Linked DNA regions of Bombyx mori. The protein of the gene in region 2 purifies or fractionates together with the protein of the main gene of each other region. This does not show direct contact. Links are inferred from orthologs where the notes say so. Each region holds a gene or a part of one and is shown on either strand. Other genes may lie near its edges.

The links.
Region 1: the proteins of eIF4AIII (region 2) and serine/arginine-rich splicing factor 1A fractionate together in Homo sapiens (co-fractionation; 4 studies listed by BioGRID and IntAct, with this or other methods). This does not show direct contact. The link is inferred for Bombyx mori from reciprocal best matches to the Homo sapiens genes EIF4A3 and SRSF1.
Region 3: the proteins of eIF4AIII (region 2) and ribonucleic acid binding protein S1 fractionate together in Homo sapiens (co-fractionation; 3 studies listed by BioGRID and IntAct, with this or other methods). This does not show direct contact. The link is inferred for Bombyx mori from reciprocal best matches to the Homo sapiens genes EIF4A3 and RNPS1.
Region 4: the proteins of eIF4AIII (region 2) and cell division cycle 5-like protein purify together in Homo sapiens (affinity purification with mass spectrometry; 3 studies listed by BioGRID and IntAct, with this or other methods). This does not show direct contact. The link is inferred for Bombyx mori from reciprocal best matches to the Homo sapiens genes EIF4A3 and CDC5L.
Region 5: the proteins of eIF4AIII (region 2) and histone deacetylase complex subunit SAP18 fractionate together in Homo sapiens (co-fractionation; 3 studies listed by BioGRID and IntAct, with this or other methods). This does not show direct contact. The link is inferred for Bombyx mori from reciprocal best matches to the Homo sapiens genes EIF4A3 and SAP18.
Region 6: the proteins of eIF4AIII (region 2) and serine/arginine repetitive matrix protein 1 purify together in Homo sapiens (affinity purification with mass spectrometry; 3 studies listed by BioGRID and IntAct, with this or other methods). This does not show direct contact. The link is inferred for Bombyx mori from reciprocal best matches to the Homo sapiens genes EIF4A3 and SRRM1.
Region 7: the proteins of eIF4AIII (region 2) and nuclear cap-binding protein subunit 1 purify together in Homo sapiens (co-immunoprecipitation; 3 studies listed by BioGRID and IntAct, with this or other methods). This does not show direct contact. The link is inferred for Bombyx mori from reciprocal best matches to the Homo sapiens genes EIF4A3 and NCBP1.

Annotation. Positions count from the first base shown.
Region 1 is NC_085122.1:429,901-434,128, reverse strand, and holds the start of serine/arginine-rich splicing factor 1A, read left to right. Parts: upstream 1-1,428; 5' UTR 1,429-1,647; coding exon 1,648-1,826; intron 1,827-2,569; coding exon 2,570-2,933; intron 2,934-3,827; coding exon 3,828-3,904; intron 3,905-4,228. UniProt on the Homo sapiens protein: Plays a role in preventing exon skipping, ensuring the accuracy of splicing and regulating alternative splicing.
Region 2 is NC_085131.1:3,885,419-3,889,583, reverse strand, and holds the start of eIF4AIII (eukaryotic initiation factor 4A-III), read right to left. Parts: upstream 2,801-4,165; 5' UTR 2,680-2,800; coding exon 2,529-2,679; intron 2,244-2,528; coding exon 1,908-2,243; intron 1,571-1,907; coding exon 1,348-1,570; intron 480-1,347; coding exon 225-479; intron 1-224. UniProt on the Homo sapiens protein: ATP-dependent RNA helicase. Involved in pre-mRNA splicing as component of the spliceosome. Core component of the splicing-dependent multiprotein exon junction complex (EJC) deposited at splice junctions on mRNAs.
Region 3 is NC_085114.1:7,346,484-7,350,673, reverse strand, and holds the start of ribonucleic acid binding protein S1, read right to left. Parts: upstream 2,801-4,190; 5' UTR 2,631-2,800; coding exon 2,629-2,630; intron 2,544-2,628; coding exon 2,433-2,543; intron 2,167-2,432; coding exon 2,032-2,166; intron 788-2,031; coding exon 641-787; intron 547-640; coding exon 305-546; intron 1-304. UniProt on the Homo sapiens protein: Part of pre- and post-splicing multiprotein mRNP complexes. Auxiliary component of the splicing-dependent multiprotein exon junction complex (EJC) deposited at splice junction on mRNAs.
Region 4 is NC_085115.1:11,711,888-11,716,082, reverse strand, and holds the start of cell division cycle 5-like protein, read right to left. Parts: upstream 2,801-4,195; 5' UTR 2,543-2,800; coding exon 2,498-2,542; intron 2,415-2,497; coding exon 2,149-2,414; intron 1,624-2,148; coding exon 1,493-1,623; intron 917-1,492; coding exon 757-916; intron 544-756; coding exon 375-543; intron 187-374; coding exon 52-186; intron 1-51.
Region 5 is NC_085129.1:7,373,308-7,376,197, reverse strand, and holds histone deacetylase complex subunit SAP18, read left to right. Parts: upstream 1-1,296; 5' UTR 1,297-1,544; coding exon 1,545-1,619; intron 1,620-1,954; coding exon 1,955-2,359; 3' UTR 2,360-2,390; downstream 2,391-2,890. UniProt on the Homo sapiens protein: Component of the SIN3-repressing complex. Enhances the ability of SIN3-HDAC1-mediated transcriptional repression. When tethered to the promoter, it can direct the formation of a repressive complex to core histone proteins.
Region 6 is NC_085128.1:8,258,078-8,261,577, forward strand, and holds part of serine/arginine repetitive matrix protein 1, read left to right. Parts: coding exon 1-114; intron 115-1,169; coding exon 1,170-1,264; intron 1,265-3,500. UniProt on the Homo sapiens protein: Part of pre- and post-splicing multiprotein mRNP complexes. As a component of the minor spliceosome, involved in the splicing of U12-type introns in pre-mRNAs. Involved in numerous pre-mRNA processing events.
Region 7 is NC_085127.1:11,154,228-11,158,230, forward strand, and holds the start of nuclear cap-binding protein subunit 1, read left to right. Parts: upstream 1-1,203; 5' UTR 1,204-1,555; coding exon 1,556-1,595; intron 1,596-1,681; coding exon 1,682-2,463; intron 2,464-2,914; coding exon 2,915-3,333; intron 3,334-3,630; coding exon 3,631-3,768; intron 3,769-3,998; coding exon 3,999-4,003. UniProt on the Homo sapiens protein: Component of the cap-binding complex (CBC), which binds cotranscriptionally to the 5'-cap of pre-mRNAs and is involved in various processes such as pre-mRNA splicing, translation regulation, nonsense-mediated mRNA decay, RNA-mediated gene silencing (RNAi) by microRNAs (miRNAs) and mRNA export.

The DNA.
Region 1 (4,228 bases), on a different chromosome or scaffold from region 2:
TCTCCCCTTTGTCGTATATCTCTACAAACTGGTGACCTGCGACGAAACCATTGCAGCCTTCACACTTCATCATCAGCGCATCAAGAACTTCGGCTACCACAATTCTCGCAGATAAAAGCAAGTCATCGACAGTAGTCCCACAGCAAGCCAGCATCGCAGCCTCGATAGGACCATCGCAGCTGACTCACCGCGCTTCCTGCTCCTACGGCACGCACCTACACTGCCTCATCACGCAGCATTCAAGCTCAGTCTCGACTCACCGCAGACTACGAGCAGCACTAGCGACAATCACGCAGCAATTCAAGCTCAGCCTCGACTCACCGCAGGCTTCGAGCAGCACTGGCCCTTGCAAGCTAATCTCAGCATGGACAACGCTAACTAAAAATGACACGACCTCCAGTCTCGGAGGGGAGTGATGTGGCGGGTAGCCATCATACAACGCAAGATAATTGACAGATGTCTGAATCTCGCTTACGACATTTTCAAGTTAAAGCGCATATATACAAGTTCCGAACAACAGCATTCGGACCGTCGGTCTACCGAGCAATATCACCAGCTCGATGGAAGATCTTCCCTCGGTCGTTAAGCTTCCCCTACACTAATTTCACCAGGACAGTTAGGTGAGCAAAAGCGCAGCCAGGAGGGGTGGGATTACTTAACAGCTGCCCGAGCGCCTCCGAAGGAGACTTATCAACTCAAGAGTAGCTGCTTTGACAGCTGATCCGACGAGAAACTCAGCGGGCTGATACATAGATTAGGTTGCACGTCGAACTCTTTGTCGAGTTCTATGAGTACGGTTACCGGGGTCCCTGAGCCTGCTACTAGTGTTAGAGCTGAAGGCTTCTAATGCAAAGGTTATTGGATCTGATGGATCCGTAAGGACGTGTCTAGGGCATCAACGGTGACTGGCTCCTGCATGATTAGAATTCGAGGAGTAATCAACGGTGGCACCAATAAGGCGATTATCATGACGCATAGCCTTATTGTATTATTTATTTTATTTTATTTTATTTAATCCATTCAAGAAGATGACACCTTAAGCACAAGTTCAAGTACAAGTTCTCTAGTAAGTTCCTACCTGATTTTATATGGGAAAACCCATACTTTAATGTTACTAACATAACTCGAAACTGCCAATATTGATCAGCCTATATATTAATTTCCATTTAACAAAAGTGAAGGGCAGCGGGCTCGAAATTAGAAAGACCTATAAAACACGCTATAGGTACTGATTTCGACACAGAAACTTCCGGACAAGCAGGAAAGAATGATAAGTGTCCTGATCCTGATATCACCAAAAGCAAACTACATTTCAGATTAATTATTCAATTTTATGGTGTTTAGTTTTAAAATGTGCCGGACGACTACATACACATCTTTGTATAAATCCTTTCACACGGACTTTTGTAAAAATTATACAGCCACATATTTATAATCTATGACCAGGTTTTTCCACTTCCGTTTTCATGATTATCGTTTTCTTTTCTGTCAAATCCACCGTGATCCAAAATCGGAACATTGACATTTGACGCCATATTGCCCGACTTTCAATTACACACAGTAAAGCGTCGGATTGGTGAAATTAGTCGATGAAGCCAACATAATAATAAGTAAACGTTTAAGCAATAGTAATATTCTTTAGCTATAATGTCGGGTGGAAGCAGTAGCAACAGAAATGAGTGTCGTATATATGTTGGAAACTTACCACCGGACATAAGGACAAAGGATATTCAAGACTTGTTTTACAAGTTCGGAAAAGTAACGTTCGTTGACCTAAAGAACAGAAAAGGTCCGCCATTCGCGTTCGTGGAATTTGAGGATCCCAGGTGAGTGTTGAATTCGAAAAGAGAAACGGGCTATCTATATTACTAACGTTGTCCATGTCTGAGTAGCGATAATCATCCCGTGTCAGGTGGACGGAATGTTCAGCTGCCTTTGAAGAAGATTTAAAAGAGCGCATACGTTATGCCGCATACACCGCTATCTGTACCCGACTATAGCGAAATGAACAATTTTATTCAGCGTTAATATAATTTTCCACACCACAGATACAGATACAGATTAAGTAAACATTTTTACTGATAAATGAAAATGGGACTTTAAATTAACAATTAATCATTTATTATTTTATGATTAATTGACAACTAATTAGTTTAAAAGTTGGCACATATTAAAATATATGAAGGGTGGCACAGATTTAATAGTCTGCCAGAGCACCTGTATCCATAAATCTAATAATATTCACCTATGATTTCTAATTATTTCAGAAAAATTAAAATCAATAAAATTTGCTGATTATTGCCAATTATATAAAATTATAACACACATATAAACACACAACATATTAAATTAAAATTACACAATGAGTGATGTCAAAACTGTGTGTGATTGGTTCTTTTATTAGATATGTCCACTTCATGGTGAGTTGTTACTGTCACTAATGAACGTCAAGAATACCAGGTGCACAGCTCAGAGCCTGCCTTGTTTCACTCCTAGTAGAATATACAGTCATATCTACCTAAATTAATCTGAGACAAGTTATTTTAATAAAATCTATTTTGGAATTCAGAGATGCAGATGATGCAGTAAGAGCCAGGGATGGTTACGACTATGATGGGTACCGTCTTCGAGTCGAGTTCCCTCGTGGAGGTGGAGGTGGAGGCTCTCGTGGTTCTCGAGGCGGTGGTGACCGTTGGGGTGGACGAGGGGCAGCACGTGGTCCGCCCGCTCGACGCTCTGAATACCGCGTGCTCGTTACCGGCTTACCGCCCTCGGGTTCCTGGCAGGACCTCAAAGACCATATGCGAGAGGCCGGCGACGTATGCTTTGCAGACACCTTTAAAGATGGATCTGGTGTTGTGGAATTTTTGAGGCATGAAGATATGAAGTATGCTGTTAAAAAGTTAGATGATTCTAGATTTAGGAGTCATGAGGTTAGTTTCTTCCACTTTATTTGAAAATAATTATAAACATAACCTGTAATGTGAAAGAACAGTACTGTTGGTGGATTGTCCCAAATTTTTTATCATTGTTACCCAACGTGGACATAAAAGTTTCAAGATAATCAATTGTGTCAAATACTTTTATAGTTTAATTTGAATTAGTTAGAAGTTTAAGGCTCATGAAGGAGAAATTAAACCATGGGATAGTGCTTAAACTGTTCATTTACAAATAGCTGCTCAAAATCAACAACTGTTATTTTGTGTCAAACTCAGTAGATATCTATAATGTCCAAAATTGCATTCTGTAAAACTCAAGTAAATAAAGTAAGCAAAACAAACTTTTGAATTCTTTAGCTAGGTTGGACTAAGCTGTCTCCTTTTTCTGATTATTTGCAATACCAGTTTTTTTTTTTTTTTTTTTCAATGTTTTTTTCTGCCCATACTTGTTACCAATTTGTTTACTGAATTATAAAAAATGAGATTGTCCTTTCAACATACAGTTAAATATTTTTTTTAAAAAACAATTCACTTGTCAATTATGGTAAAGTAATTTCAGTTTGAGAAAAACTGATATGAGATTGAAAAGAACAAATGGAATGTAAAATGAGATGTGAGGCAACAAAACATCATCTCAGCTTAAGTAAACTGAGTTTGCTTTCATATTGATATTACAAAAGAAATTTGAACCATGGATCAAATTTGAACCATACTTTCTTAATCTTGATATTACAGACCTTATGGTCATAGATGATGAAGATTATAAAATGAATGAAAAGAAAGCTATATTACACTGTAAAAGCGTTTTACAATCAACTCAAGAAATTTAAAAAGCAAGCAGTGTCATGTAGTGCAAGATTTAGACGTCTATTAAATATTCATTTCCAGGGTGAGGTGACATATATACGTGTGAAGGAAGACTATGGCGGTGGCGGCGGTGGCGGTGGTGGCGGCGGCGGTGACAGGTACCACTACATACCATTACTACATTAACTGACTACTATATCATTTAATTGGCCAAATATATTGATTAAACTAGCTGACCCGGCAGACTTCGTAGTGCCTCAATCGATAAATAAAAGACCTAACTATTGTATAAAATAAACTTAAAACAAACAAAAGGAATCCGTCCAACGGGGGACACATCAAAGGAAAAACAAAATTTTATTTTACCTTTTAAACGTCTGGACTTCCACAAATAATTCAAGACCAAAATTAGCCAAATCGGTCCAACCGTTCTCGAGTTTTAGCGAGACTAACAAACAGCAATTCATTTTTATATATATCGA
Region 2 (4,165 bases):
GCCCATCCAACACTCAACAAAAGCCCAGAGGCATTATTACATAAATGCTGTCTGTAAAGGTGATCCATATCTCGTTTACATTAAAAAAAAAAGAGCAATTGTATTTTTCATATTAAATCACTAGTGATATTAGTTCACGAAATTCGAAACCATTCACATTTAGATCTTGAAAACTAAAAGTCTTCAAGATCGTATTGTTTTTATTTTAATAGAATTTCCATTACCTTTGACCAGAACGAAATTCCTTCATAATGTTGTCTCTCTCTTTCTGTGGCATGTCACCATGCATTGAACTGACAGTGAAGTTTGCCTCTTGCATCTTCTGTGTGAGCCAGTCAACCTTCCTCTTTGTATTACAAAATATTACTGCTTGGGTAATTGTCAGTGTATCATAGAGGTCACAAAGTGTGTCAAACTTCCATTCTTCTCGTTCAACTGCCACGAAGAACTGTTTGATACCCTCCAGTGTCAACTCATCACTGTAGAAAAAATGATTCTTAATTTCAAATACATTTACCATGATAGAAAATTTGTTTACTTAATTACTATTTAGCTTGCATAGGTTTATGTGTTGAGCAATTAACAAAATGATAGTCCATACAGAAATAAGCTTCATCCTAGAAATAGTATAGTTGATAATGCTAAAATAAAACAGATAGTTTTCTACACTTAATGTAACTTCTTTTCTTAATCTAAATCTCCTCTAGTGTTTCCTGAGTACTGTGACATAATTTTATTCAAATGAGATATCAGGCAAATAACCCTTAGCGTCACTAGTGTCCATAGGCGGCAGTAATCACTCACTATCAGGTGGACAAATTCCTTCAAGGGCAATATAAAACAAATATTTCATTTAACTTAGTGGGTGGATGAGTTCAAGGCCCACGGTGTTAATGGTGTTAAGTGGTTACCAGAGTCCATAGACACCTAGAACAGCTTTGCTGTACTGAATTCCATGGGCGATTGTCACCACTCACCATCAGGTGGGTGGTATGCTAGTCTGCCTACAAGGACACTAAAAAAATAAAATGACATGAGTTCTAGTGTCTCGCATTTTACAGTACAACAGCTGACCCACCGTTCAAACCAAAACACATTACTGCGTCCCAGCAAAAATAGACAGGATCGTGGTACCTACCCGTGCGGACTTACAAGACATTCCTACCACCTACCACCAGTAATTACGCAAATTATAATTTTACATGTTTGATTTTTATTATAAGATGTTATTCCTTCACTATGGAAGTTAATCGTGAACAATTGTGAAGTACGTATTTCATTAGAAAAATTAGTACTTGCCTGCAGAATTCGAACTTTAATGTGTATTTTTGAAATAATCATACAAACCGTTTTACTAATATCCTTATTGGATCAGTCATAAACTTTGATGTCATTTCCAATATCTCATGGGGTAGTGTTGCTGATATTAGCACAACCTGAGTTGCAGGAGGCAGATAGCGGTATACATCATAAATTTGCTCTTTGAAACCTTTGTTCAACATCTCATCAGCCTCATCAAGAACCAGCATCTTTATTGACCGGGTTCTCAACACACGCCTTCTGATCATATCTGAAAATAAGATTGTTTTCTTATAATCTAGGGCACCCTACATCTTGCAGTGGATAGATTATTTAACTTTTTCAATTATTGCACAAGGATGACAATTTATAGACACCATCCCTGTTCTGAGATGCCTGAAACCATACACATGGGTTTGTGGTGAGACTACTGTAGTGAGTAGTACTGTTGGTGAATTTGAGAAGTGGAAGTTAAGTTACTACTTTCAAGAAATAAAAAAGGTGAACCAGCCAGATAACAAAAAAGATCACAGAAGGTTTATCTTTGGTTTTGGAAACTAAAACAATTAGTACTTATTTACTTGGATTAGCAATTTTCATTTATTTACCAAAAACTCTGCCAGGTGTGCCAGACACAACATGCTGTCCGTAATCCAATTTCCTTATATCTTCTCCAAGATTGGTACCTCCAATACAAGCATGACATTGAACGTTCATGAAATCTCCAAGAGCTAATATCACTTTCTGAATCTGAGTAGCCAGTTCACGGGTCGGTGAAAGAATAAGTACTTGAGTTTCACGCAGAGTCGTGTCTAAAGTCTGTAGTATTGAAATTGAGAATGTCGCAGTCTTTCCTGTACCAGATTGTGCTTGAGCTATTACATCTCTGCCTTTGACTATAGGCAAGATGCTTCTCTGCTGAATTGCTGAAGGTTTTTCGAAACCTGTAAATTAACGTTAGTTATTACTAAGTGGTTACCGGACCCCACATACACCACAATACGGAATCTACCAGCCCCCAAGGTTTAACAGTGCGATTGATTTTAAATGTATTGTAAATTAGTATGTCACTCTTCGAAGCCGGAACGCAGAACTGTTGCGAAAAAACAGGACGACAGTCTGACAGACGGACGACCATAATACGGTCTAAAGCTGGTAAGATAATGCCCACATGATCGTTTATGTAGGCAGTTGTAATAATTATAAATAACACCACAATTTGTACTAACCATATGTGTATATTCCTCGCAATAACTCATCTCGAAGTCCCATGGAGTCAAAAGTGGGAATAACTTCGACATCTTCACTCGTGTCGAACTCAACATTCGACAAATCTTCCGACAATATTTTTCTATTGGACGATACTTCAGACGATGTCATTTTTCGAATCTAGTTCGCTTCTAAGTTTTTAAAATAACAAGTTATACGATAGGTGAAAATCTCTTAGAATCTGAATTTCTAAATTACTAAAGGGAAACTTAAGAAACTGTGTCCATAACCATAGATAACACCATAGATAATGAATTTAATTCCATAAGATAGATAATACATTTCATACATAAGATCCATAGACTATTAAGTGATTATTACGCTTTTATTAGCTCCATACCTATGTAGGTATGTAACGGAATCTTTGAATATGATTTTGACCACCTTCAAAATGTCAGATTAACTTGAAATTTGGCATACTTAGGTATTAAGGACCGATGATAATTCAATATTTTAAACAGTAGACTCGTTATTTAATTTCGGCAGTCAAAACAACAAATTAATTTTTGCGCCTTCTTTTCTTCACTTAGAAAATTTGGAAACTGTTTTATTTGCCTGAATGCACATTAAAGAATAATTTATGATAGATAATAAGTAAACTAAAAAATGAAAAATACATAATAGTTTAAAAAAACTAAAATACATGTTTTTATAGAAAATCCAACTAAAAAATGGAAAATAATGTAGTGTGCAACAACGTTACTTCCCACACATCACAATAAATTTATTTAAAAAAAAGCGTGGGATGCTTTTTATGAGATTATCAAAATGATAAGACTTAGCTAGCAATTTCTGTCAATAAAATATTTAAACTATTGACGCCGCGCATCTCACGATTTTCTATAAAAACGTGTATTTTAGTTTTTTTTAATTATTATTTATTCATGTATTCTTAAGCCGCGATAACCGGAGTGATGGTAAGAACTCATCCGAAAATAATGTGATTGTTTATAGTACTGAAAGGCGACGACGCGGGGGCTCATAGCTACTGACGAAACCCCTTACTAAAATAAATTAATAATGTTGATTTGTAGATAGTCTGTGGTTTCAAGAGTCACAGGTAACAATCTAAAATGGAAAAGAAATAAAACGGCTATAGATTATACACAAAGTAAAAAAAACGTGATACAAAACGCGAAAGAAGAAACGTTAAAAAAAGAAAGTTTTAGAGCGTAACCAGCAAAAGATATAATGCGGCTACAAATTTTAAAAATACATGTATTATATGATTCTATAATTTAACTGTTGAAATTGTTAACTGTGCTTTACAAGATTAATTTGAGATCTAAACATTTTTTCGACTGGGTCGAAACAAAACGCAATTAACAACGCATTCGTTCAGAGGTCGAACTGGTCGAAGGAATTTCGTTTTAATTTGTGGCCAAAAGAACGACCGTATTTGATTTTGAACGAATCAAAATGGATGCTGGGTGTGAATGAACTGTATACTGAAACCAACAGCTTTTCAATAAATTGTGTCGCGGGTTCGATTGATGATAAAATTCCTACGTAGGGGTATGAATTTAAAATTTTAAACAGTGAGCAAATCAGATTTCTTTCCTTTGCAGTCACTTTGCTTATTGTTGAAATCAGTAGT
Region 3 (4,190 bases), on a different chromosome or scaffold from region 2:
TCTTGGGCCAAGGTCTAGAATCTGGGAGACATTTGTTATCTCCTGCCGCCATGTAGTCCGTTTGCGACCATGCCATGCTAATTTTCGTCACATCTTTACCGGTTTGTGCAAGTCAGACTGAATTTTTTTGGTGACCAATAAAGAATTAAAATCAACAAAAGCTCCATGGTAAAGATTTGAATTTGCAGACATAAAATAGAGAATTTGTTCCAGTGCATCCCCAACACATACTTAATATTAAACTTCCCTACAGGGAGAAAAATATTAAGGGTTAAAGTTAAAAGATAAGTGTTAAGTTGGTTACCCCCGTCCATGTGCTTCATAGCATTTTCTGCTTCATCAGCATTATTAAACTCAACATATGCGTATCCTCTTCCATTATGTGGGTGAAGTCGGTCCATAGGAAACTCAATTGATTTCACAGTACCATATGTCGAAAATATTTCATGGATGTGATCACGCGTTACATTTAAAGTCAGTCGTCCAATGTGGATACGAGTTGGTCGTGGTGGTGGTGAGCGTTCTCGCTTCTTACGTCCTGGAGATCTGAAGAGAAAAAAAGAAATTCTTATTATTATTTTACCAGGGGCCATAATATGGCGTATTAAGGCTATAATTTAAAATAATAACTGTTTTGTACCGTTCCTGTTTTTCCTTAATTTTAGCTTTGTCATTTGATAAAGGTAACACAGATTTTTTTTTTTCTCCTGTTGGTGATCTATCTCTAATCTTCTCCCGATCAGCATCACGACGATCTTTAAGTGGACTCTTGTTTGGTGAAATTGTTCTAAAAATAAAGAAAATGTATGGTCAGGTTAGCAATCTTAACATGCATGATGCCCAAACATAAAAAAAAAACATTTTAAAAGCTTTGATCAATTTCATTGACTTCAAATTATTATTTTATCAAATAGTGTTTCAATTCTGATTGTATTTTTTTCTCTTTTAATTAGTACTGTAATGATCATGAAATAAATTAATAATTTACTTGTGGCTTTCCGTCCCTGCATTATAAAGAAAACTATATATGAGTCAACTATTATCAAAGCCGGCAATGTGACTTTTGGATAATTATTGGTAAATCAGAAAACAAATTATTGACTTTGTATTCCATTGGCAGTCACAAAACTCTTCCGATCGACATCTTAGATAAATAACAGGTTAAGTATTAACCTTTATTTAATGCAGGTTTTGAACCGTATTCTTTGAAGAAGACGATTATATTCAAATCAATCTGTATTGACATATCAATAATTTTTTTTTGTCCAAATGCACAGATTGCCGCCTTTGATAATAGACGACTCATATATCAGGTTATTACATGAATATTATATTTCCTGAATCAGATATCATATTGTAGAAAAAAGAAGACCTATTATGGGCTTAGGAGTAATCACTTTCAGATTTCTACTAAATTATAGAAAATTAAATATTGTTTTAGTTAAATTAAGTACTGTTTAAATACCTACTGTTCAATATTGTTATTGATTGTTTCAATAACAACCTACCAGTGCAATATTTTTCCATTAGATGTGGATAGGATTGTGGCCATCTAGTGTTAATGGAGCCCTTACATATCACAATATTGATGCAGTCATTCACCTCGAAACATGAGATTGAAGAACTATAACTACGCCCTATTCCTTCAGTACAGAATGTATCATAACATATTTAGCTAACATATAAAGCAGATGGCTTTTTCTAAAAACCTGATTTGCTCTACATTTTGATGGTCTACTCAGCATATACTGTAACTTATTAAAGATCTATCTGACCTTCAACCTTATTGCAGGATTGTATGGAGTGCCCCCCATAATATTATCAAAATTTAACAAAATATGAACATCTATAATGAATTGGTGTTCGTTAGTCTCGCTAAAACTCGAGAACAGTTGGACTGATTTGGCTAATTTTGGTTTACGATGTCTGCCGGTTCAGCTAGTACTGAATAAAAACTTCGCTTTGGCTTAAGAAATTGCAGATTGTTTAATAATAATTATATTAATCCTTATCTTATAATTTTAAGCTTACTTTTTCTTAGGCCTTGAACGGCCATTGTTACTGCTGCTACTGCTAGATGAGCTGGATGATGAAGATGAACGTGATGAACTTCCTGAGCTACTGGATGATGACCGAGAGGATGACCTTGAAGAACTACTTGATGAACTGAAAATAGATTTAAATTATATTGGTTGAGAAAGTAACTCCCAGGATAAGGCTTATGTACTTTCATTATTTAGTTTGTACCAATAATCACTTCAGCAAGATATTAACAATTTGCGTGGGTTTTTTGTATCTATTTGGTTTTTCTAGTAGTGTATAGTAAGTTGACTATTTCTTATTATAACTTCCGTTGAAGAAAGAAAGCCCGCTTTTAACATAACCTCCAAAGAATTGTGTTACAAATCTTAATAATACATTAGTTGGGATACCTTCCACTACTATCACTGCTGCTGGAGCCTGAGTCACCTTTCTTTTTCTTGCTTTCTTTGGGTTTCTTCTTCTCTTTCTCAGCTGCAGGCAAAGGCGATTTATTTCTAGCCCTGGTATTGAAATGAAACATGTTAACGGGCCTCTCTAAATGTACAATAGTAGAATTTTTATAGAATAAGTTGAGGAAACACTTACATTTTCAACCTACTATGTTTTTATTTACGTTTCATGAATGTAAAACCTTAGTAAAACAATGTCGTCTTCGAAATCCGATAGCGTCATTTGCCGACCACGATCAGTTCATAGATAATATTAAGTGTATAATCTATGCATAGATATTATCTATGTTAATACAGATCAGTTGTCAATTACAGATTGTGTAGAAATTATTTAGTTTTTAAGGGATTTTATGACCTGGTAACTGAGACCTTTAAGGCATGTCTTATTTTAATTTATATTCATATTTTTATGAAAAATGATATTATGAAGTGAAATGAAATGAAGATGATTAATTTGACATTGACATCAATCAACTGGGATGAAATTAAATGAAATGAAATGAGATGATATGGGATGAAATATAATCTCAGTAAAATGGTGGTCATTTACTAAGACTTTTTCCGTGGACTTTTTGGAGGATCCTGAGAAGTTACGTCCAGCGGCTTTCTTTTATTTTCCCTCATTTATATTATGAGGGAAAATGAAAGATATTAAACAGTTAATAAACCACCATTATTACACATTTAAACCCGAAAAAACATTAAATAGACAAAATAAAATAAATCACACAACTTCACTCCTCGCGTTCCCGCCAAAAAGTCCTGTAGAAATTATATTTTTAGAGATTTTATGACCTGGTAACTGAGACCTTTAAGTCATATCTTATTTTAATGTATATTCTTAATTTTATGAAAAATGATATTATGGAGTGAAATGAAATGAAAATGATTAATTTGAGACATTAATCAACTGGGATGAAATTAAATGAGATGATATGAGATGAAATCTAATCTCAGTAAAATGGTGGTCATTTACTAAGATTTTTTCAATGGACTTTTTGGAGGATCCCGAGAAGTTACGTCCAGCGGCTTTGTTTCATTTTCCCACATTTGTGCACTTTCACAGATATTAAACGGTTAATAAACCACCATTATTACACATTTAAACCCGAAGAAACACTAAATAGACAAAATAAAACAAATCACACAACTTCACTCCTCGCATTCCCGCCAAAAAGTCCGTAGAAATTATAGAAAAATCCATAGAACAGTATGTACTGGTAAAACGGGGTGGTTAGGGACAAATTCCAACTTGATGAACAATTTTAAGGTAGTTGTTGATGTTTAAAATGCTATATCAGGATCAAAATGATTGAGTCTTGGGGGTATCTTTGTTATCCAATTTAAAGCTATGCAATTAGCATTCGAGTTTAAGCTAAGAAAGCAAAAATAGGTGCTATCCCTATTTACCCAGAAATTAGCTAGAGCTTGCACTCCTTGATTTTAATCAATTATTTTATTTAGTTGCAATAACAAAGTGATCATCAATAAAAACATTGAAAAACTGACAAAAGTACACGGCAGATGGCATGAATTTAGGTGCAATCGATAATGCATTGACAAAAAAAAAAAAAAAAAATAACTAAAACTTGATTACATTTAATTACTTATGATTAATTTATATTTGCTTGGGAAATTATCTGTGACAGATTTTTGAAGTTGTAAGACAATTAGAAAAAAAACATCTATTTCATCACT
Region 4 (4,195 bases), on a different chromosome or scaffold from region 2:
AATGATCACAGTAGATCTACTTTTGATAGATGGAATTAAAAAATAACATACTTGATCAGTAACTTGTGGCTCTGGCAGCACAAGTTTGCTGCGTTTTCTTGCCGGAGCATCACCTTGTAGCATGGCTTGTGGCACATCATTTTCCTTGCGTTGTTTTAACTTTTGCTTATCCTTGCGACGTTCTCTCTAAAAATATTAGAATAAAATTTTGTAATAAAATAAAATCTTTATAATTTTTAACCACAGAATAGATAGGTAGAAAAAATATACATGAATATAAAAAAAATGTAGATAGAAGCAGCATCTCATATTCCCTACTTCCTTACTTCCCTAACTTAACAACTTTAAGTATAAATTAAGTACATGTAACCAACCTCCTCTTTCTCAGAATGTAATTCACCGTCAAGGTGTTGTTGTCGGAGTCTTGAGAAATCAGGAGCCATGGGATCAACTACTTCAGTCGAAGTGTCATAGAAACCAGACGCTGGTCTCTTTTCAAATGGTATCTCAGCATTATAATCAACGCCACGTTTTTTTTTACGCCTGGGGAACAATGAAGCATTATATTAATAATAATATTATTATAAATAATAATAATAATAACAGCAAGTAGGCTATCAGCTTGTTCATCCGCCTATGCAAAGACAATCTTAAAAAATATAAAAATGTTACTCAATTTTACACGACCAATTGAATGTAAAATATTTACTTTTTTTTGTCTATTTCATATACATATAACTTATTGTGTTTTTAAACCTTAATGGTACAGCTATCCCAGCAGCACTGAGTTCCCTTCGCTTCTGTAGTGCAGCAAGACGACGGGCCTCTTCTAATTGCTTTTCACGAGCCTTCCTTTTAGCTTTCTTACCCTGAGTGTTAGCTAAACGTGCACGAGCTTCTGAGAGCATCTCCAATTCTAGTTATCAAGAATAAAATTATAATCAAAAATCATGAAACAATACAATTCTAAGCTTTGGCTGTGAAGTACATGTACAGCACTCGTTCTTTACCCTCAAAGTCTATAGTGTACATTTTCTAAATGGCCTCTCTAGCTGGTGTAAAAGTATCACTCTTAAAGCCAAAATTATATCGTGATCAACAATAATTTTTTATCTAGTCTTCATTTTTATAAATTTGAAGGAAAAAGATCATTGTGACACAAAAATGAAACACAGCACGTGTAAACTTCTGATGTTGTTCACACATACATTCTTAAAGATATACAGCTAAAATGAGTATATCACTTATGGGACGATGTAAAAACTTGTTGCTGTTGTTGAAATCAGCATGAAGTGCATCATCAACATACTTGGAATTCATAACTATCACTAACTTGTCTTCATTTTTAAGAGCTAATGGTTCTTTTTACATTCTGTGTTTTCAATTATGCAAAAATATACTAAACTATACAGTGAACTCTAACCTAAATTCACATTATTAACTGAATTCATAACTAAAAGACTAAATGATTTTTCAAATATGATTTGCTTACCATCTTCATCCATATCTTTTGGATCAGGTCTAGCAGGTTTTGTTTCTGGATTAGGATCAATCTCACCAGGCTTCAGCTTACGTGGATCATCACCCATGTCCTCACCTTCCTCTTTCTTTTGGGCTTGGTCTCTAGATGAGAATTAAAGGAGTTTACAGAATTTTATAATATTCATAGATAAGCATCTGTGGTCTGACAGATTGTGTTGTGAACCTGTGTTTTTGTTCCATTTCTGTTCCATTTGCCGAAGATCCAGCATTTTTAAACTGGAAAATATGCTTGAAAGAAGAATGCTTTAAACTTGAAAAGCGAGATAGCCGTTGCATAAAACAATTGATTTCCACATTATTTCTAAAGCTGTATGGCAGTCACATTCACATTATGATGTCTATGAACCCCATCTGTCTATTTAGAATATTAAAATAATTGTATTTAATCATCACACAAACTACAAGATGGTCAATTCAGATCTCTAGTTCTACACTATCTATCTTGCTTACTGTTGCCTGATTTGTTTAGTGTGATTAATTATTGATGCTAACACCAAAGCAACTTTTTCAGATACCTATGTGAGTGATTGAAACCAAACCTAACTACTTTACTCTGTTTTATTAGATACAAGGAACTCAAACTTAACAAGATAATTAATTACTTACAACAAATATTCGTATCTTTCCAAACATTGTGCAGCAGTACGTCCGATGATAGGAGCAATGGTCCTCCACTGAGTTGGCATCAATTTGGCCAAGTGCAACAACTTCTCGTCCTCTTCTCGGGACCATTCTGTTTTCTTTATACTTGGATCTAACCACTCGTACCAACGGGCTTTACATTGTTTTGCAGATTTACGATGGAGCAACGAAGCTATACGAGACCACTGATTTTTCCCATATTTCATTACAGCCGCTTTAAGGATTTCATCCTAAAGTGACACACAAATAACATTAGTATTAAGGAATCATAAGAAAGTATTAATAAAGAATACAAAATAGTAAAATAACAAACCTCGGTGTTGCGCCAAACGCCACCTTTTATCATAATCCGGGGCATGTTGGATAGTGTTTATTCAGCTTATAAATAAATGAAATCAATTAAATTTGAATAACTACTACTTAAATATGCAATAATTTTCATTAAAACGTCTCCATTTAGCGAAAATTTAATAAATTGAGATGTAAGGATAAATCAATGAAATCTAAATTCTATAATCCATCGACATTTTTTTTTGTACAAATTTTCCTTATTAGGAAAGGCAAGGGGATCTAAGCCCATATAGCCTTTAATCCATAGACAATACATACACAAGATATAGGTAAAATAAAAATTTCAATATATATATTTTTTATTTTATGACCTAACGTAACATAGACCTTTAGGTCATATCTTATTTGTTAAACTATACAGGGTGTGTGAGAACTCAACGTCAAGCCGAAACGGGGTGACAGGATTGATTGTAACCATCATGAGAAAAATCAGAAAAAAAATCTATCCCATCCAGTTTGGAAATTATGGCCATTAAAAACCTAGAAATTTGGTCAAACTTTAACCATTTTTCGGTTATTGTGGTTAATTTTTGTTATTTTTGTTCATTTAAACTTTGGAACCGTAACCCTACATAACATTTCTAGAACCGCACTCAAAAATAATGACACAACTGCCCCAAGTTTTCTCATATGAAGTCGTCGTCGCCTAAAGGATAAGACGTCCAGTGCATTCGTGTTGAGCGATGCACCGGTGTTCAAATCTCAGGCGGGTACCAATTTTTCTAAAGAAATACGTACTCAACAAATGTTCACGATTGACTTCCACGGTGAAGGAATAACATCGTGTAATAAAAATAAAAGCCGCATAATTATAATTTGCGTAATTACTGGTGTTAGGACCTCTTGTGAATCCGCACGGGTAGGTACCTCCGCCCTGTCTATTTCTGCCCTGAAGCAGTAATGCGTTTCAGTTTGAAGGGCTGGGCAGCCGTTGTAACTATACTCGAGACCTTAGAACTTGTATCTCAAGGTGGGTGGCGCATTTACGTTGTGGATGTCTATGGGCTCCAGTAACCACTTAACACCAGGTGGGCTGTGAGCTCGTCCAACCATCTAAGCCAAAAAAAAAAAGAAAAAAAAAGCCATCATGAGAAAAATCAGAAGAAAAAAATGTGTGTGTGCATGTCACACACATTACGTGTGACACGGTAGAAGTGAAACTTATAAAAATTAAAATAATCGCAAGAATCAACCAACCCGCAGTGCAATGGAGCAGCCTCACCCTGTGGAAACCGCCTGCATAATCACGGTATCCCTACGCCAGGTAAGTATGATTTAGCTTTTTTTTTCCTACCTAAGCTGATAGCCTTGCGAGGCTATTTCAGCAGAACCTTAACTAGTAGGTGAACTCACGGGGCTCAAATCTGACGACGTTGCTAACACGAACTCTAGCAAGAGCCGTGCTTCGCAGAATCTACCACCGGATCGGAAACGCAACCCACTGAGAAGATCCGGCGAGAAACTCAGTGGGCTGTGTCTGAGGGTTAATTTACTCGACGAGCCCTTCCTCGCAAGCGACGGGTTCGACGGGAACGGTGATCGGTGCTTGAGGTACCTAAAAGCACCGTTAGTGGATCGGGAGGATCCGAAATGACGTGTTTGGGGTGATGTCGACTGCTTTCCATTCTTTTGATTTAGCAAGAGAAATACGAGAACATCT
Region 5 (2,890 bases), on a different chromosome or scaffold from region 2:
TCGGGATCTTCCAAAAAGTCCACTGAAAAAGTCTCAGTAAATGACCACCATTTTACTGAGATTATGCTTCATCCCATATCATCTCATCTCATGTCATTTCATTTCGTTTTCATTTCACTTTAGGTTTCATTATAATCAACTTCATTTTATTTCATAATATCATTTTCATTTAAAAAAGTTACGTATCATTAAAATTAAAATAATACTTGACCTAAAGGTCTTAGTTACCAGGTCATAAAAGCCCTTCAAAAAAAAAATCATTTATCATCAGAAATTGTTTAAAGGTACCGTAAAATGGGGCGATTAGGGACAAATTCCAACTTTATGATCAATTTTAAGGTAGTTGTTGATGTATATAATGCTATATCAGGATCAAAATGATTGAGTCTTGGGGGCATCTTTGTTGTCTAATTTAAAATTATGGAACTAGCATTCCAGTTTAAGCAAAAAATGCAAAAATAGGTGTAATCCCTATTTACCCGAAAATTGCGGTTAATTGGGACGAAATGAGAAATTTGCTAGGGTTGGCACTACTTTTATTTTTATATATAGTTTTAATTTATTTATTTATTTAGTTGCACCAACAAAGTGATCATCAATAAAAAAAATTGAAAAACTGACAAAAGTACATGGCAGACATCACCTCAATTATAGGTGCAATCGACAGTGCTGATATTTCTATCTGGGTTAAGAGATTAGGTGTGTCGGTTATTCCATGGATTAATCAGATGAATACCCCCACTCTGAACAAATATTAAATATTTTATTATGTATTACTTAGACATTTTTGTCCACCTTGAGATTTCATTGATCTTGTTACATGTCTCTCCAAAATTGACTTACTTATATTAAATTGCTTATCTATTTCAAATAAAGACTTATTCCCAATTTCGCTTCGAATAAACCAGATTTTTACCAACAAATTTAAAAAATATTGTTATAACTACATAGACAACCCTACAAACCTGTACCTATTTATACTTAGTTCGTTTCCATTTCACGTATTCTCATCCCAATTGACCCCTTTTTCGTTGTTATTTGTACCTAAGCCGTCCCCAATATCCCCAAAACAACAGATTTTTACATGTATTTTTATTTAATCAAATACATTAAAACCAATAACAACTGAGACTTACCTTTAATATATATGCTGGTTCAAACACTAAATAACGTTTATAAATCATAGTCGTTTTCTATTATTATCAAATAAATAAAAGAGAGCAAAGTTTCTAGCACTAAAATAATTACCACCACAGGAAGTTAATTTGAAACGCGATTTTTTATAAGTTAGCAGCTATTATCATGCATATTCAGAGTTGTTTTGTGAACTTTCAACATTCTACTATTAAACTACAAAAAATGGAAGATTTTGCAACGAATATAAAACTTATATTGAGCGTCGAAAGATTTTCCCAGTTTTTTCCCGATTCGCCTCTCAATCCCTAATCGCCCCATTTTACCGGTACATGTATTTAAAGACTCGCATAATTTAAATAATTACTTAAGTTGGAAAAATTAAGTAGGACCACAATTCTCCAAATATTATGAAAATGGCGGGATTAGAATCAATGGTAGTTGAAGAAATTAAACCGACAGAAAAACCGGTGGACAGAGAAAAGGTACTTTGTTAAACAATATAATTGATTATTTTTTACTATAAACAGCATTTACTTTAAATTAATGTTCGCCAACTGATTTTAATTTGACCATAATAATCAACAGAACATTCAAATCCGTTGTGTCTACTAAAGCACTCTGTTCTTTTTTGTTTCGTAATTGACATTTTTTCTTGTAAATGTGAGATATAAAGTAACAATCTATTTGTTTTCGATAACACTAAAGCTCGTTCATTAGGATTATAAATAAAACACAATAATTGAATTGACAGAGGAGGAAATTTGTTATGCTTTTTCCTGATTATATAGAGATATAAATTTAACCTAAAATGTTTCAGACCTGTCCTCTATTGCTCCGTGTGTTTTGTTCAACTGGCCGACATAATTCTCCTGGAGACTATGTTAGAGGAAACGTACCTCAGAATGAATTACAAATATATACATGGATGGATGCTACACTGCGAGAACTTACAGGACTTGTAAAAGAAGTTAATCCTGAGACGAGACGGAAAGGCACATACTTTGATTTTGCCATTGTGTATCCTGATATGCGTTCCCCTACATATCGTATGAGGGAAATAGGAGTTACATGTTCCGGACAGAGAGGAGGCGATGATAACAAGACACTTTCACAACTGAAATTTCAAATTGGGAACTATCTAGACATCTCAATAACACCCCCAAACAGAATGCCACCACCAATGAGGCGTCCACAACCATATATTAATAATCGTCAGTACTGATAATTAAGTTTAATAAAAGAATGTGTATCAACTGTGTTCTTTCACTTGATTTAAAGGGTGAAGTTGGATTTCATTAAATTACTATTATAAAGGGGAACACCCACTCTCCATAGTGTTCTGGGCCCAAGATGGACATCAAATATTACTATAAAAATGGACTGTTTCTTAAATATATTGGATATCTAAAAAATATATTGAAATTGACACCACTATTATAAAAATAAAATAAAATAAAAAAATCGTTTTGAGGTTTATTTTCTATATAAATAAGTGTTGGATTATGAGTTACTTCAAGAACTTTTCTTTTATTAATGTTTAATTTATTAATTATGATAAGGGAGATGTTCCTAATGTAATTTTATCCAATTGTAGTTATTAGGGTATAAAAAACACATGTTTTTCTAAATATCTATGTTTTCTTCATCTTCATACACAATTAATAAATCATCTAAAAATAGCGCAGGAGGGCATATCCACGGTTATGAGTCTCGTTCAGTTTAAAACCACAATTCACACTATGTCTTAGTCGTA
Region 6 (3,500 bases), on a different chromosome or scaffold from region 2:
CAAGGACAAAGACAAGGAGCGACGGAGATCGAGGTCCCGGTCGCGTTCCCGGCGCCGCTCTCGCGACCGACGGCGCTCGCGAACTCGTTCTCGTGATCGTTCCAGTGACAGAAAGTTAGTAGTAGACGTATATTTTCCAGGTAGCAGCATCCATTGCTGGTGGTAGTAGGGGTGGATTGCACATGGATACTTAATACTATGCTGCCCATTTAATAATACAAAACAATAGTGTGCTTAGTTGAATAGCGGATCCTCTGAAATTAAACGCTTAAAATCATTAACAGAGTAACAGTCGCCGTTTATCACTATGCCCACATAGTGATAAGGAGTAAGCATTTGGAATATATTTTTGAGAATGTAAAGGTTGTCTGTCATACATATATTAAATTAGTAAAATTCGAGTTAGTCTATTCATGGAGTAAAATAGAATATAAAAGGGGTTACTACTGAAGAGCAGTAGAATCACCATGTGACTATTTTCTGTTGGTTGTGCACATTCGGAATTACATTTATTTATCGCCAGTCAACTGATTAATTAGGAGTAGTAGTAGTATATATTGTTTTATTAAAATTGCGTGTTGCTAATTAGTTACGATAATTACAAATATTTTTTAAATTGTGTTCTTGTACTGTTAATTGTTAAATAGCAAAATATATTCGTATGTATAATTTAATAAGAAAAAAAACTGTCAAAATCATAATTTTAGTTTTAACCTGGGAAATGGTTAAAGAGCTACCATTGATCTATCTCATTGCTGAGTATGAGTCACCACCCCCAACGTGGTACAAAATCGTCGCCCAAAACACGTCATGTCGGATCATCCCGTTCTACTAACGGAGCTTTTAGGTACTTCAAGCACCTGTCATCGTCTAACCCGTCGCTTGCGACGAAGGGCTCGGCGAGTAAATTAACCCATAGACACAGCTCACTGGGTTTCTCGCCGGATCTTCTCAGCGGGTCGCGTTTCCGATCCGGTGATAGTTTCTGCGAAGCACTGCTCTTACTAGGGTTAGGTTTGAGACCCCGTGAGCTCACCTACTTGTTAAGGTTACGCTGGTCTCTGAAGGTCATCAGCTTAGACAGGAAAAAAAAGGTACGAAATGTGGAGCGTGTAGCTGAGGATGATAGCTAGTTAGACATAAGATAATGACCATTAAAATTACTCTAGGCATCGTAACGGCGGAAGTCCGCGTCGATCGAGACGGCGCAGCAGCCCGATCAGAGACAAGGTCAGCCCTGCGAAAACTGAACCGGAAACCAAAGGTACTGTTAATGTAGACGTAAATAAAAATACAATGATAGTGATAATGTTAACATAATAAACTTGTTGGTGTGTTGTTTTCACTTAAATATGATTGTATTGTAAGATTTTGCTTCTGTTATCGTTGCGAAGTAAAATGTCTACATTATCTTTTGTTAACTGGTTATGGGGCGTATTGTAAGCCCGCACGGGTAGATACCACCATTCGGTGTATTTGTGCGGCAAACTAGTCCTGCGTTTCAGTTTGAAGGGTTGGATTGATGTTATACAATGCAATTACTCTTGGCGACTCATATTTACTGTGTTCATATATTATAACGAAATTGTATATTATAACAAAATTGAGACTTTTTTTTTTTTTTTTTTTTTTTTTTTATTGCCTTTGTAGGCAGACGGGCATACGGCCCACCTGATGGTGAGTGGTTACCGTCGCCCATGGACTTCAGCAATGCCAGGGGCAGAGCCAAGCCGCTGCCTACCGCTTAATACTCTCCACAAGCCTCGTTTGAAGAAGGACATGTCATAGCGCTCGGGAAACACCGCGGAGGGGAGCTCATTCCATAGCCGGATGGTACGTGGCAAAAAAGATCTCTGGAAACGCACTGTGGATGACCGCAGCGGCTCCAGGTAGTATGGATGAACTCTACTCCGGTGGCGGGCGGTGCGATGGTAAAAACGAGATGCTGGTATCATCTCGAACAATTCCTCAGAGCACTCCCCATGGAACATACGGTATAAAATACAGAGGGAACCGAAGTCCCTCCGCAAACCCAGAGGCTCCAAACGAACCGAGAGAATGGGATTATCGACAATCCGAACGGCCCTCCTCTGTATGGAGTCAAATGGAAGAAGCTGGTATTTGGGAGCCCCGGCCCAGAGATGAGAGCAGTACTCCACGCGAGGCCGGACTTGTGCTTTATAAAGCAAAAGTCTTTGTCCAGGCGTGAAGTACCGCTTCGCTCTGTTGAGGACTCCCAGCATTTTGGACGCCAACTTGGCTTTGCCTTCCAAATGACTCCGAAACTGGACATCGCTCGAAATGTCGACCCCAAGTATCCCGATACTCTCGGAAGGTTGCAGGGATACTCCTTGGAATTGCGGCGCCATGACAAAGGGGTCCTTCTTCGCAGTGAACGCGCAAACTTGTGTCTTTATCGGGTTGAATTGAACCAAGTTCAATTCACCCCATTCGGAGACTCGCCCCAGAGAGTTCTCCACTTCAGACACAAGTTTTGATCGTCTCTCTTGCACCACGCTCCGAGAGAGACTCTGATGGCCGATATATCGCGCATCCCCCGTGCTATCATCTGCATAGCAATGCATGCCATCAATAGACAGCATGTCATTGATATACAGGATGAAAAGCGTGGGGGAGAGCACCGAACCTTGTGGAACGCCAGCGTTAATGGTCATGGTATCAGAACAGTCACCGTCTACAACGACCGTGATGCTCCGCCCATCCAAAAAGCTAGCGATCCACTTGCAGAGACCCTCGGGGATTCCGTAAGATGGTAACTTCGATAGAAGTGCCCTATGCCAGACCCTGTCGAAGGCCTTCGCGATATCAAGGCTCACAGCGAGAGCCTCGCCCTTGCTCTCCAAGGCTTCAGCCCACCTGTGAGTAAGGTATACAAGAAGATCGCCAGCTGAGCGACCGTGACGGAAACCGTACTGTCGGTCACTGATCAGCTGGCGATCTTCAAGATACTTCAGGAGTTGTGTATTTATAATTCGCTCCATCACCTTGGAAAGCAAGGAAGTTATCGCGATAGGCCTGTAGCTCGATGGGTCCGACCGGTCACCCTTCTTGGGGATAGGGTGGACATGAGCAGTCTTCCATGAAGACGGAACCTTGTTAGTGCAATAAGAGAGGCGATACAAACGCGTTAGCGCAGGTGTCAGCTCAGGGGCGCACGTTTTCAAAACCACTGCGGGGATGCCGTCTGGCCCACTCGACTTATGAACGTCCAGGAGTCGGAGCTCCCGCCTGACTGCACACTGTGTGAAGCAGATATCCGGCAGGGAGCTATCACACCAGGGGATGCTCGGTGGTGTGGCACCCCCGTCGTCCATAGTCGAGTTCGAGGCGAAGAGTTTGACCAGAAGGTCAGCCTTCTCTTTCGCGCTGTGGGCCAGATTGTCATCGGACTTGCGCAGTGGTGGGAGACTAGACCTGCAAAAGTTTCCTTCTGCAGCTTTGGCGAGCGACCAAAAAGCACGGCTCCCGGAGGGATAGCT
Region 7 (4,003 bases), on a different chromosome or scaffold from region 2:
GACAGTGGATTTTTTAGTTGCTACAATCCCATCTCAGCTCATTTTATTTAGTGTCATCCCAATTTATTACAGTCTAAATCAATTTCACCTTATTACGCACCATATCATTTTTTAAAAAATAGTTAATAAAAGATAGGCTGTAATGATGTTTCATGAAGACCTTTGGGAAATGAACTCTACTGTCAGTTACTGAAAGAAAAAGTCCTGACAGTTGACAACTTGACACGATATTTCAAGATTGTCACTTTGTCGTACAGTTGCCAGATGGGGGGGAATTCCTGCAAATTCGGGGGTTTTTTGACCTTGAAGATGAGATTCGGCGGGGAAGATTCTTTAGGGGACATTTGGGGGGAAAAAGGTAGTTGGGAGAAATTTCGGAGGTTTTTTGAGCACTATATAATTCATCCACAAACACAATTCCCATCACTATTAGAATATTTATAATCTACTATACGTATTATGCACAAAACAATATTATAAAGGAAAAATTACGCAACCGGATGAATAGGCAATAGAAACTGTCGAAGCGGTTCTCGAGATTCAATATTCACTGCCATAAGGATCCATAAATTTTGTTCCCACATCGGACATGTAAGATTTTTAATCTTTAACTCCGAAAACGTGTATTCTTTATATAATAAAAACGAAAGTGAATATGATTGTAAAAAATTTTTTAGAGGTGGTTGAAGTTATGGGATAGCTTGATTAAAAAATAAAAAAGATGTGGTGTCGTGGGACACCAGGTAGGAACGAAGTTCCTTGGGCTAATGTAGAATCGACACAATTTGCAAAAAAAGAAATGGTGCTCAATTTTATGTAGGTTTTCTTGGTTTTTCTCTTAAATTTTGCTGATTAGTTTTTATTTAAGCACGGGAAAGTATTTAGGAAATTGAGTATTTTAGAAAATAATAAATTACGTAAAATAAAAAAAATAGTAATTCAAATTATCAATTAAAATAACAAAATATATCTCTTTATTTTTGGTTGACAACATAAAATTACATAGAAATAGAAATAATTACTAAATAGAGAGAGAAGGGATTAGAGAACGAAAAGTAAGAAGGAGAAAGAGAAAGGTATATACACTACTCGCTTGTGTATGCGACTGTCGCGCCTGCGCACGTCTCATTTAACGGTTTTATTCCACGCACTTTTTTCCACGGATTTTTTCTTACGGTTTTACTATCACATTTTTTTCAGTTCGGTCGCGCAGCAAAATCCCTATCCCCTCCAAGCTTGCCGTAAGGAACTTCGTTCCAATAAAAGAATACTTTTGTATTTTATTTCTTCATTAAATTAAGTAAAAGCTGTTTTGGTTTTTTTTTTCAAAAAGCTTATTTTTCGGGGGGTTTTAAAAAAAAGTTGGAGGGAAATTCACACGGTCATCTGACAGCACTGCTTTGTCGCAAGATTTCGGAGTTGAAGACATTGAAAATTTATTCAAAGCTTGTTGAGTTTGCTATCGTTTTTTCTGTTCTAAACGTAAAATACGATTTCGTAAACAAAAGCATAAAGAGAAAAGTCAAAGATTTGTGATACGCACAGTGATTTTATTATGAACCGTCGTAGAGGACATGATGATGAAGAAGGATATGGTGAGTTGTTAAGATCAAACATATACAGGTTATATTTAATTTTATTTGTACATTGTGAAGTATGTAATTGTTTTTACTATTTTCAGAACGCCTCCATCGGAAAAGGCGTCGTGTATCTGAAAACCAAGAAATCGAGGATCGCTTAGAGTCCTTAATTTTAAGAGTTGGCGAAAAAAGTAGTTCCAGTTTGGAGAGTAACCTAGAAGGATTAGCAAGTGTACTGGAAGCCGATTTGAGTACCTTTAGAGTTAAAATACTACGGATACTAACGGATTGTGCTATCCGCATGCCCGAGAAATGTACAATCTATGCAACTCTTGTTGGTTTGTTGAATGCAAAGAATTATAACTTTGGTGGAGAATTTGTTGATTACATAGTAAAAACCTTTAAAGAAAATCTTAAAGTCGGGAAATGGAATGCTGCTAGGTATTGTCTAAGGTTCATTGCGGACTTGGTGAACTGTCACGTATTGGCTGCTTCATCATTGCTGACTTTATTAGAGACATTAGTAGATTCTGCTAATGAAGATGGAGTACCTCACGTCAGAAGGGATTGGTTTGTATTTGCGGTGCTGTCAGCATTACCTTGGGTTGGTCGGGAGTTGTATGAAAAGAAGGAATCTCAATTAGATCACTTACTTGTGACTATAGAGGTTTTCTTGAATAAACGGAGTAAGAAACATTGGCCAGCCTTAAAGGTGTGGTCGGCTGATTCACCTCATTTACAAGAAGAATATTTGGATTGCCTCTGGTCTCAGATAAAGAAGTTGAAACAAGACAATTGGTCAGAGAAACATATTCCAAGGCCATATCTTGCCTTTGACTCTATTCTTTGTGAAGCTTTACAACACACACTTCCTGCCATTCAGGTATCATATGAATTTATAATAGATATACTATGATTTTCTAATACAAATTAGTTAAAGTTTACATACTTTGGTTTTGTTCGATTATGGTATTCGATTATGGTATTTATATGGTTCATTACCACCAAAGTACAGTTTACTAGTTATATCTGGAGCTGCCCACTTCTAGTGCATTTTATTTAATTTACCTTACACACACTTTGGAACTAGAAGTAACTTGCCCTGTGGAAGTTCGAGGCTTGAAGAACATGTGTTTCTTCAAGCAAAGGTTGCAGACTAATTTATTTCAGCTTGTGTGCCAGGGGTGCCATAAATAAATGTTACATGTAAAGATTGACTAATAAATGCGGTAACAAAACTAATAAAAAGTTAACTTTTTTTAAAAAGTTGCACCAATATAATATTTTCGTTTACAAATCATATGGTAATAATTGATGATGTTTTTATATTTCAGCCACCACCCCATAATGACACTGATACTTATCCAATGCCTCGGGTTATATTCCGTATGTTTGACTACACAGACTGTCCAGACGGACCAGTTTTGCCTGGAGTGCACTCTATAGAGAGATTCTTGATAGAAGAACATTTGCACAATATTATTGAGACATATCATTTAGAACGTAAAGAATGTGCTGCTCAACTCCTCTGCTTTCCTTACAAAGCCAAAATTCCTCTGGAATATTGCATAGTTGAGGTGATATTTGCTGAATTATTTAATTTGCCAAAACCAAGGTATTTGGAGATATGTTATGGTTCAATATTAATTGAACTTTGCAAGCTTCAGCCATCAACAATGCCACAGGTTCTAGCTCAAGCTACTGAAATTTTGTTCATGAGGATTGACACCATGAATGTTGCTTGCTTTGACAGGTATGTTAACCTTGGATGAAATTTGAATACATTGATAGTTTCATTTTAATTTTGTGGACTCAAGACACTTACACCTTATCTTTTAATTTATATTTTTCTTTAAATGTATGTATGTGCATGTGTATAGCTATGGGATAATTAATGAACAATATAAAATTTTATTTTGGGGTTTTCTGTTCAAGCATATTTCACAAAATGATACAATGTTGAATAGAAGAATGTTGTTATCTTAAATATCACTTAAAGAAGATTACAGTTGAATAGTAAATAATATTTTAAAGTAGTCTTTTTTTTAAGGTTTGCGAACTGGTTTGCCTACCATTTGAGCAACTTCCAGTACAGATGGTCATGGGAAGATTGGGAGGCGTGTCTCCAATTAGATCCTGAACATCCAAAACCCAGGTTTATCAGAGAGGTCCTCGGAAAATGTCTAAGGCAAGTTTATGAAAGTTTCCCTTATATATTCTATGCTAACATTTTGCGAACATGACAATAATAATATAATAAACATATAAGTGAATTTCAATATTATATTAACAAAAACACGAAAATAAAATATATTTCTAGTAAATTAAAAACTAAAATTTGATGTCTCAAAGCTGTTTTTATATCGACAATTTACAATTAATAGTGATAATATGAAATACTTATTTGTGATTTTTCAGGCTAT